Linked DNA regions of Struthio camelus. The protein of the gene in region 2 purifies or fractionates together with the protein of the main gene of each other region. This does not show direct contact. Links are inferred from orthologs where the notes say so. Each region holds a gene or a part of one and is shown on either strand. Other genes may lie near its edges.

Region 1 (3,748 bases), on a different chromosome or scaffold from region 2:
CATGACAAGTCTGACTTTAAACCTAAAAGTTTTTCAATAACTTGAGCAGTTTGACAATGATTCAGCATCTGGGACCACAACTTGCGGTAGTGACAAAATCGCTTTTGATATCAGTATGTTTTATTTAAGTTTATCCAAACAGTTCCGTATAAGAAACGGTCAAAGGCTGAAAAACAGATTAGCCAATAAAAAAGATGGAAAGTTTGTTTTCTTCTTCTCCACTAGAAAGAGGAGATGAAAAGATCGCATCATTCTAAAACCCTGATGAATCAGTCGTCGATGGCGAATTCTCCCATTAAAGGGAATTCTTCCATTGCTTAATAAATCAATATTAGAGATATGTATCTTATACACTCGTACCAGTTTTACCTGAAAAAACTAAAACTTCATTAAGAATAATCTGCCTGTGAATTTTAATTGAATTTTAGTTTCCATTCCAAATAGTGCCTGATAGAAATCATGATATTTCTATGCAGAACGGATCACCATTTTCCCCAGGTGTAAAGTATTAAAAACATAAATGCATATTATAACTGTAGCTGCTTACATAGATATGTGGGGAACATGATCTTATGGGGAACAGAAAGGATAGCCAAGATTCGGATAATCCCCATAATTTAGATATTTAGATAATTAGAATCAAACTTTTCATAAATAAACAAATGTAAACCAGACTAAAGTTAGTCACTAAAATCAAGACTTCTTGCTGGCTTATTTTACTCTTGATTAAACGCAGTCACATTTAAGATCAATTCATACTTCTTAATATAAAGCATCACAACACTTTGGTGCTGAGGATAATATTATAAGAGATTAGACTGCCAAAGAAAGAAGAGATTAAAGACAAAAAAAACTTTTAGCAAGATTTCCTATCTTCCTTCCCTTGTCATATTTTTATAAACTCAAATAAATAAAAATCTGTTCTAATGCTATAAGCTAGTGATACTCAAAGGATAAATGACAATTAATTAATTCCAGTGAGTATTTTCAATAAGCGATGGTTGAAAATAACAAAGATTACGTAACACAGCAGCATAACAAAAAGTCATCTAACAACAGAAGAAACTAGTTTTAGCAAGACACAAATATACCTCCTCAGAAGAGGGCAAAGTAGAGCATCACGTTAACTATGTGGGTGGAACCAATGGAAACTTTAACTCAACCTTTAGCATAGGAAGGAAAGGAGATCTATTATATGTGATACTAAAACACATTGAAAAGAACAACAAAACCCACAACCAAACCCATATCAGAGACAATCAAACTGTTATTGGCTCCATGGACGGAAAGGTTCTCTACAGAACCAAGGTTACTGCAAGAACTTTTAATCAGGAGTAGCAGAAAGGAACAGCTGTTTTTTGGCAAGGCAGAAGGTGAGAGGTCACTGCAGCCGGCCAGTTTCTTCTAACCCTTGTGGTATGTGGCACGTTATTCATTTTCTATAAATGTGTGGGTTAATCAAAGTAGCCACATGTATCGTAATACTTCCAGTTCGGGACTGGAATTTTGGGGTGATGCACTAAGCGTTCATTTACAAACCAGAAGATATCAAATAGCTGAAAGCAAGAAACACAAGAGGTCCTCAAACTGCTTGAATCCTACCACAAACATGAAGTGTGGACCCCAGAAAACAGCCTCCAGCCTTCCTTTAGGTATGCCAAACTGAAACAATGCAATCTTATAGAGTTACCAGAACTCAGCCTAGCTTAGGATCAGAAGCGCATACGCACACTAGCCCATAGCTCTAACATCTCCGTTATTCAAACTAGCTTAGCCCAAATATTCTCTGCTGCATTCTGTCATGTATCATAAATATGCAGGAAGGTAATTTACAGCTTACAGGAGATGCCTGACATCTCCCTCTCAAGAAAGCAGGCTCTGAGCAACATGTGGTTTCCCTATGCTTAAGGATATAACAAGAGGCTTATGTTGCTATCACATAAGGTAAAATCCTCCTGCAATCTTACTTTTCTCATTTCCCTATTTAAACTTTATGCTCTACCAAGCTAAGTAGAGATGCCTTTCAAGCAAACTAGCACGATTCAAGAACCTGTTTGCAAAACACTTACACTACAGCCACTACTTTTCATATACAGCAGGTAAACCTGAAGCAGACTGGATAATACAGCTACCTAAATGTATCACCTACGGTAAAAACCGAGACGCTAGGTGGCTAACTTACACCGAGCCCTGCTCACTCAAGACGATACACCCAATCCAGATTCAAGATCCGGGCTGCTTTTATACCCTCCGAGCTGTGCCTACACCACAGCGCCCACGCTGCCAGCAGCTTCTAGGACCACGTCTCACCACAAAGCCTCCTGAAGAAACCGAGAGCCGAGCCGCGAACGGCAAGCACCGCTACGGGTCTCGGCGGCGGGGCGCGGGCGGACAGCAGCACAGAGCCCAGGCACAAGGCACGACCCGCGGCTACCGGCGCCGCCGGGGGCCACACGGCTGACAAGAGGGCTGGGCACGCGACCCCGCTTCGCCAACGGCCGCCAACGGCCAGAAGCGGCGGCGCGCGCCGCGCCGCGCCGACCCCCCCCCCCCACCCCGCTACGCTAACGGACGCGGCGCGAGCCGCCCCCGCGCGCCCCGCCGCCAAAGGCGCAGCGCCCTACCCTCCCGGGCCCACCTGCGCAGCGGGGGGCCAGCGCGACCAGGAGGCACGAGAGGAGCCCCGCGAGCAGCCCCGCCATGGCTCCGCGACCCGCCTAAGCCGCGGCGGCCGCCACCGTCCCGCCGCCCATCCGGCAGCTGCTACCGCGGGCGGTCGCGCAGCTCCCGGAAGCCTCGGGCACGCCGCGCATGCGCGGACCGCCTTCCGCGCCGCTGCGGCCTGCGAAATGGCGGCGGTGGTGGGTGATGAGGGCGTGTTAAGACGGGGAGAAACGTCGGCCTGGGGGCGACTAGCGGCCCGTCAGATGTTTTGCTTCCAGCAGTGGCAGTAGGAGATGTCGTCTGAGGAGAGCAAGTGGGTTTGGACGCTCTGTGGTGCGTCTCCAGAGAAAACCCAGAGAGCTGGGTGTCTTCTGGTGGGGAGGAACTTGGCTTTGGCATAAATTCGTTCTTCTCAGCCGTCTTGTCAGCGCTCATGTTTCCTGTCCTTGGCCTGCCGGTGCTGTCTGGTAGCTTGCTCTCCTCCCAAAGCCGAGAGAACCCATTCACACAACCCTAAGGGAAAGGGGCCTTTCTGACAATGTGCCCCCTTATAGATAGTCAAAAAAATCAACAAATCACAAGATACTTTGAGTCACAGAGGGAGAAACAAAATCTGTAGAGTTTCAGGAGTTAGGGCGATTGTCTGCAGAGGGGAAAATCTGTGTTCTGGTCTAGTCTGCCCTGCTCCTTGAGTGTATGATGAAGGCTACAGTGAGTGTTCAATGCAGCATGCATACTGCTGCCCTTGCAGTGGGGTTTGGACCCCAGCTTACTCTTTTTGCAGGTAGGAGTCCTAGTTTCTTGACTACAGAGCTCGCCTTCCCTTTTTCTGTTTCATATTTTTCAATAAGGTTATCCAGCTGCAATGGGAGGAGCAATGAGAGGTTACCTTTCACTTCCTACCCCCTGAAAACAACCTACTCCTAAGTGGGCACAACAGTGTATTCAGAGATGAGGATTTGAAACTCCAGCAGGCAAAGGCCTGTATTTTCCACATCCTAGGTGCTATGAATATGACATTATTTGTGGCATAAGGAAGCAACAATGCTTCCAGCCATGCTTCTGGACAAAAATGGTATTGGCT
Region 2 (3,748 bases):
AAAAAAACTGTCTGTCTCACCTGATATCTTGTGATTCAAGAGAGAAGCTCAAAGTTACTGCCAAAAATTAGGCACAGTTATTTTTAAGTGGAAAAAGTAATATTTTTTTTCTAGAGAAGGACAAAAATACTACCACCTACAAGGCTGTTTTCAACATGAAATGAAATTCAGTCGAAATCTGTATCAGAAACAAAACCACCCAAAGCTGTGGAGGTAGCAGGTCCCATCCCTACAAGGGATATTTGAATATTTACTACGATGAAATATCTTGGCACTTGGGAAAGTCACTGAGAAAAATCAATACTCAATAGCATAGTCCCCTTCAACCCAAACTGTGACCCCTCTAATAAGAAAACAGTACATGAAGCGTTTCACACACTTGGATGAACAGGATAATACATTGCGAATGATTCAGCATCAGTTGAGAGGATGCATTAGCCAATCTAGGTAGGTAATTGTAGCAACGCTATTACTGCGGTACCTAAAGACTTTTTGAGTGTAAAAGACAGAAACAAGAGACTTTCTAGCACAGTCAAGCTGATATCTAAGTTAAATAAGACAATCTTACATATTGAAACAACCTACTTCTGCTACATCTCCATGAACTGCAAAGGGGGAAGACTGAAAGACCTCACAATGTCCAATAAAAGATTTACTTTGTCAACATAACTAAAGTGAGAGGCAGGTATTATATAAATGCATGTGAAAGAAAAAGCTTAAGATGCGTTACACAAAAGCCTTTCTCACTCTCCTGTCAACCTGCAAACAAAAATGCCTAAACAGTTGGGAGGCAACAGAGGGAGGCTACATGTTCTGTTGCACTTTTTAGATTTGTTTTGCATATGAGAGGTTTTTCTTTTTTTTTTAATAAAATATTGAAGAACTTAGTTTAGCTTTTAGTTCTCAGTGCAGCCCCACCCTTGATCATTCTTTCCTTTGTCTTGTGCTCTTAACAGATACAGCTCCTGTAGGCTGCACTCTCTCACACTCAGGCCTCTCCCTAGTGCCAGGGACTTTTATTGTTTGAGTGGAACACAGCCAGCTGCAAGATGGACAAGAATTCCCTCAGGTAGCCAGGCCCAATCTTATGGAGGATTTCAAGTACCTGGAATAAACTCTTAGATGGGAATCTTTGCACAAGGGGTGGGAAAAAAGCAGCGTATGAGATGTCAGGATAATGTGTTTACAATGTCCTTTGGTGCAAGACAGAAACTTTTCAAGAGAAACTTTTCCGGATATGAAACTCACTATCTATCCAGATGCAGACTGTAATTACTAAGCTTGACCAAATGCACGCACAGCAGGACCTGGCATACTCCAACAGCCAATCACGCAACAAAGAGGATAATTTGTTATTACTTGCTTCCGTGCCTACTTAGCTATCCACAAAGTTTTCCCACTTTGTTGAACTGAGACTCTAGAAATTTGACAAGCTTTAAGAAAACTAGCAAAAGGGTCAAAAAGTCTCAAGAGAAACAAGTTCTACAAGATTAAAAGCCGCAAGCCAAGCAAGTGTTCTGAAGAGCAGTTAAAAATTAAAATTTGCAACTAGCATTTCCTCAATTTCATTTTGAGCATACGTTCCGAAGATCTAATAGAACTGCTTCTTCTTGATGAACTTAAACTTAACTCTGTACCATGGAAAGCACTGATCCAAAACAAACTTTTAGCAAGTGTTGCCATTCATTTAAGTAACATCCTTAGGGAAAGAACAGTTTGGGGCTAAAGTTAATACTCAAGTTGGTTGGCAGCAGTTTGTTTCCATTTCCAAATCTTACTGTTTGTAGCCCAAAGTTTTGAAAATACCAATAAATGATAAAAAAGAATGAAATAATGTTTTAACTCAAGTGTATCATGCCTCAAACCTAGAGTGAGCTAGCCACGCTCAAAGAACATCTTGGATGCAAGCACCCCAAGGCTATTTTCTGTGTCAAAGACCCACTCGCAAACCTAGACAATATAAGTGCTCTTTACATTCATTATCAGGGATACACAGCGGGAGGAGGCGCAGGATTAAAGTGGCAATACATACAGCTCTGGGGGCAGAGAGGCAGGAAAAACAGAACAAGAACCGCAGCGGGCTGGTGCGCACTACAGAAAGGGAGGCTCAAGTACACAAATAAAAGCAGAAACCCAGCGGACACACGCAGCGCCCCCTCCCCCCTCCCAGCCCGGTTTGAACTTCTCCCGCTCCCAGGCGGCACCTGCGGCCCCCCGGTCTGCGCACCGCGCACCAGACCCCTTCCCCAGCCCCCCACATTTCACCCCCTCGGGACAGCCACCTCCCCCTGCTTCACCGCAACGCCAGCGAGGGCCCCCCCCGGCCTGGCTCCCCCTTCTCCTCCTCCACCTCACCCCGCGCCCCTCCCCCACCCCCGCAGGTGCCCCCGTTCCCACCGCCGCGGCCCCTCACCATGAACTTCAGGGCCTTCTCCTGCAGCACGGCCTCGGCCGGGTCCATAGTCCTGCGCCGCCGCCACCGCCGCCGGGCCCGGGGCCGGGGTCGCCCCTTCCCTCAGTGCCAGGCCGCAGCCAGCGCAGACAGGAACCTGCGCTTCCCCGCGTCCCCCCCGCTCCACCTCGCCCCGCTGCCCGCGCGGCGCATGCGCCGCCCGCAGGCCCACGGGAAATGGAGTCCCTGGCCGCTCTGCCAGTAAGGGCCTGAGGAAGACATGAAAACTACGAGGCCCAGAAGGCCTCGCGGCCAGGGGCACGCCGGGAGCCGGCCGGCGCATGCGCCGCTAGAGGGAGCGGGGGCTGATGGGAGTTGTAGTAGGAAGGGGCTGTGGCGGGCGTAACGGAGGGCAGAGCCGAGCAGGGCGCATGGCCGCTGCGGGGACGAGGGTGGCCCCTTCCCTGGGGGCGTCTGGGGCCTTCCAGCCCCAACCTTCCCCGATGAGGTCTCGGCCCGGCTCCCAAGTCAGAGCCCTGCTCGGTTACCAATTAGTGCCTTGGGTGCGGCTAATTGCCAGGGTGCCTGGCACCTGAGAGCGCGCATAGCTGCTTACCGGCAATTTATGGTGCCGATAAAAGTTTCGCTAATTGTTTTGTTTTGCTGCAGTTGCGCTCAATGCCTGAGTGCGATTGATTTCTAAGTCAATTATTGCTTGTTTTAGTACAGCCCCAAATACCATCTAAAATGAATCTTGTGCACTGGCATATATGTACGTATGGCAAATATGCATAGAGTTGGTACCAAAAACGTTTGGTGTCTTAGTATGGAGTGGAAGTTGGGTCGAGCGGGTTAAGTGTTGCTTCCTGGCAGGGGAACATGAAATTGGGAAACCTGCAACACTGGAATGGATCAAGTAGCCCTACACCATCCCTGAGAGATACTTGTTGAAAACTTGCTGCAAAGACAATTCCTCACATGAAAACAACCTGCCACTGCCCTTGCACTTAGATTTGTTTCTAATAACAAAGCTAGATCTATTTTCTCTGAAAATTACACCTACTTCTCCTTGCTGTATAAAGCAGCAAACAAGAAAAAAAACAATTGACAGGAGCCCTCTTATAACAACTGTGCATAGGCTGGAAGGTGTTTACCATACTGTCCCCCTTTTGTTTTACCTTTCTCTACAGCAAGCACAGCACTGACTCTTACTTAGGGTGTGATCCGGTAAAACACTCACATTCTTTCTATATTTGACTCTGCATCTTAAGTGAGGTGCCTTCAATTTCTTCCTATTTAGAAGCCACAAACCTCAGCATTTACTTGTCAACATGCAACCTAAACCCATTCTCTTTG

What was found.
Region 1: the proteins of BTRC (region 2) and IFNAR1 purify together in Homo sapiens (affinity purification with western blotting; 4 studies listed by BioGRID and IntAct, counting the BioPlex papers as one, with this or other methods). This does not show direct contact. The link is inferred for Struthio camelus from reciprocal best matches to the Homo sapiens genes BTRC and IFNAR1.

Annotation. Positions count from the first base shown.
Region 1 is NC_090942.1:120,310,954-120,314,701, reverse strand, and holds the start of IFNAR1 (interferon alpha/beta receptor 1), read right to left. Parts: upstream 2,824-3,748; 5' UTR 2,703-2,823; coding exon of another isoform or gene 2,639-2,702; intron 2,223-2,638; exon of another isoform or gene 2,183-2,222; intron 1-2,182. UniProt on the Homo sapiens protein: Together with IFNAR2, forms the heterodimeric receptor for type I interferons (including interferons alpha, beta, epsilon, omega and kappa).
Region 2 is NC_090948.1:16,138,097-16,141,844, reverse strand, and holds the start of BTRC (F-box/WD repeat-containing protein 1A), read right to left. Parts: upstream 2,588-3,748; 5' UTR 2,462-2,587; coding exon 2,414-2,461; intron 1-2,413. UniProt on the Homo sapiens protein: Substrate recognition component of a SCF (SKP1-CUL1-F-box protein) E3 ubiquitin-protein ligase complex which mediates the ubiquitination and subsequent proteasomal degradation of target proteins. Recognizes and binds to phosphorylated target proteins.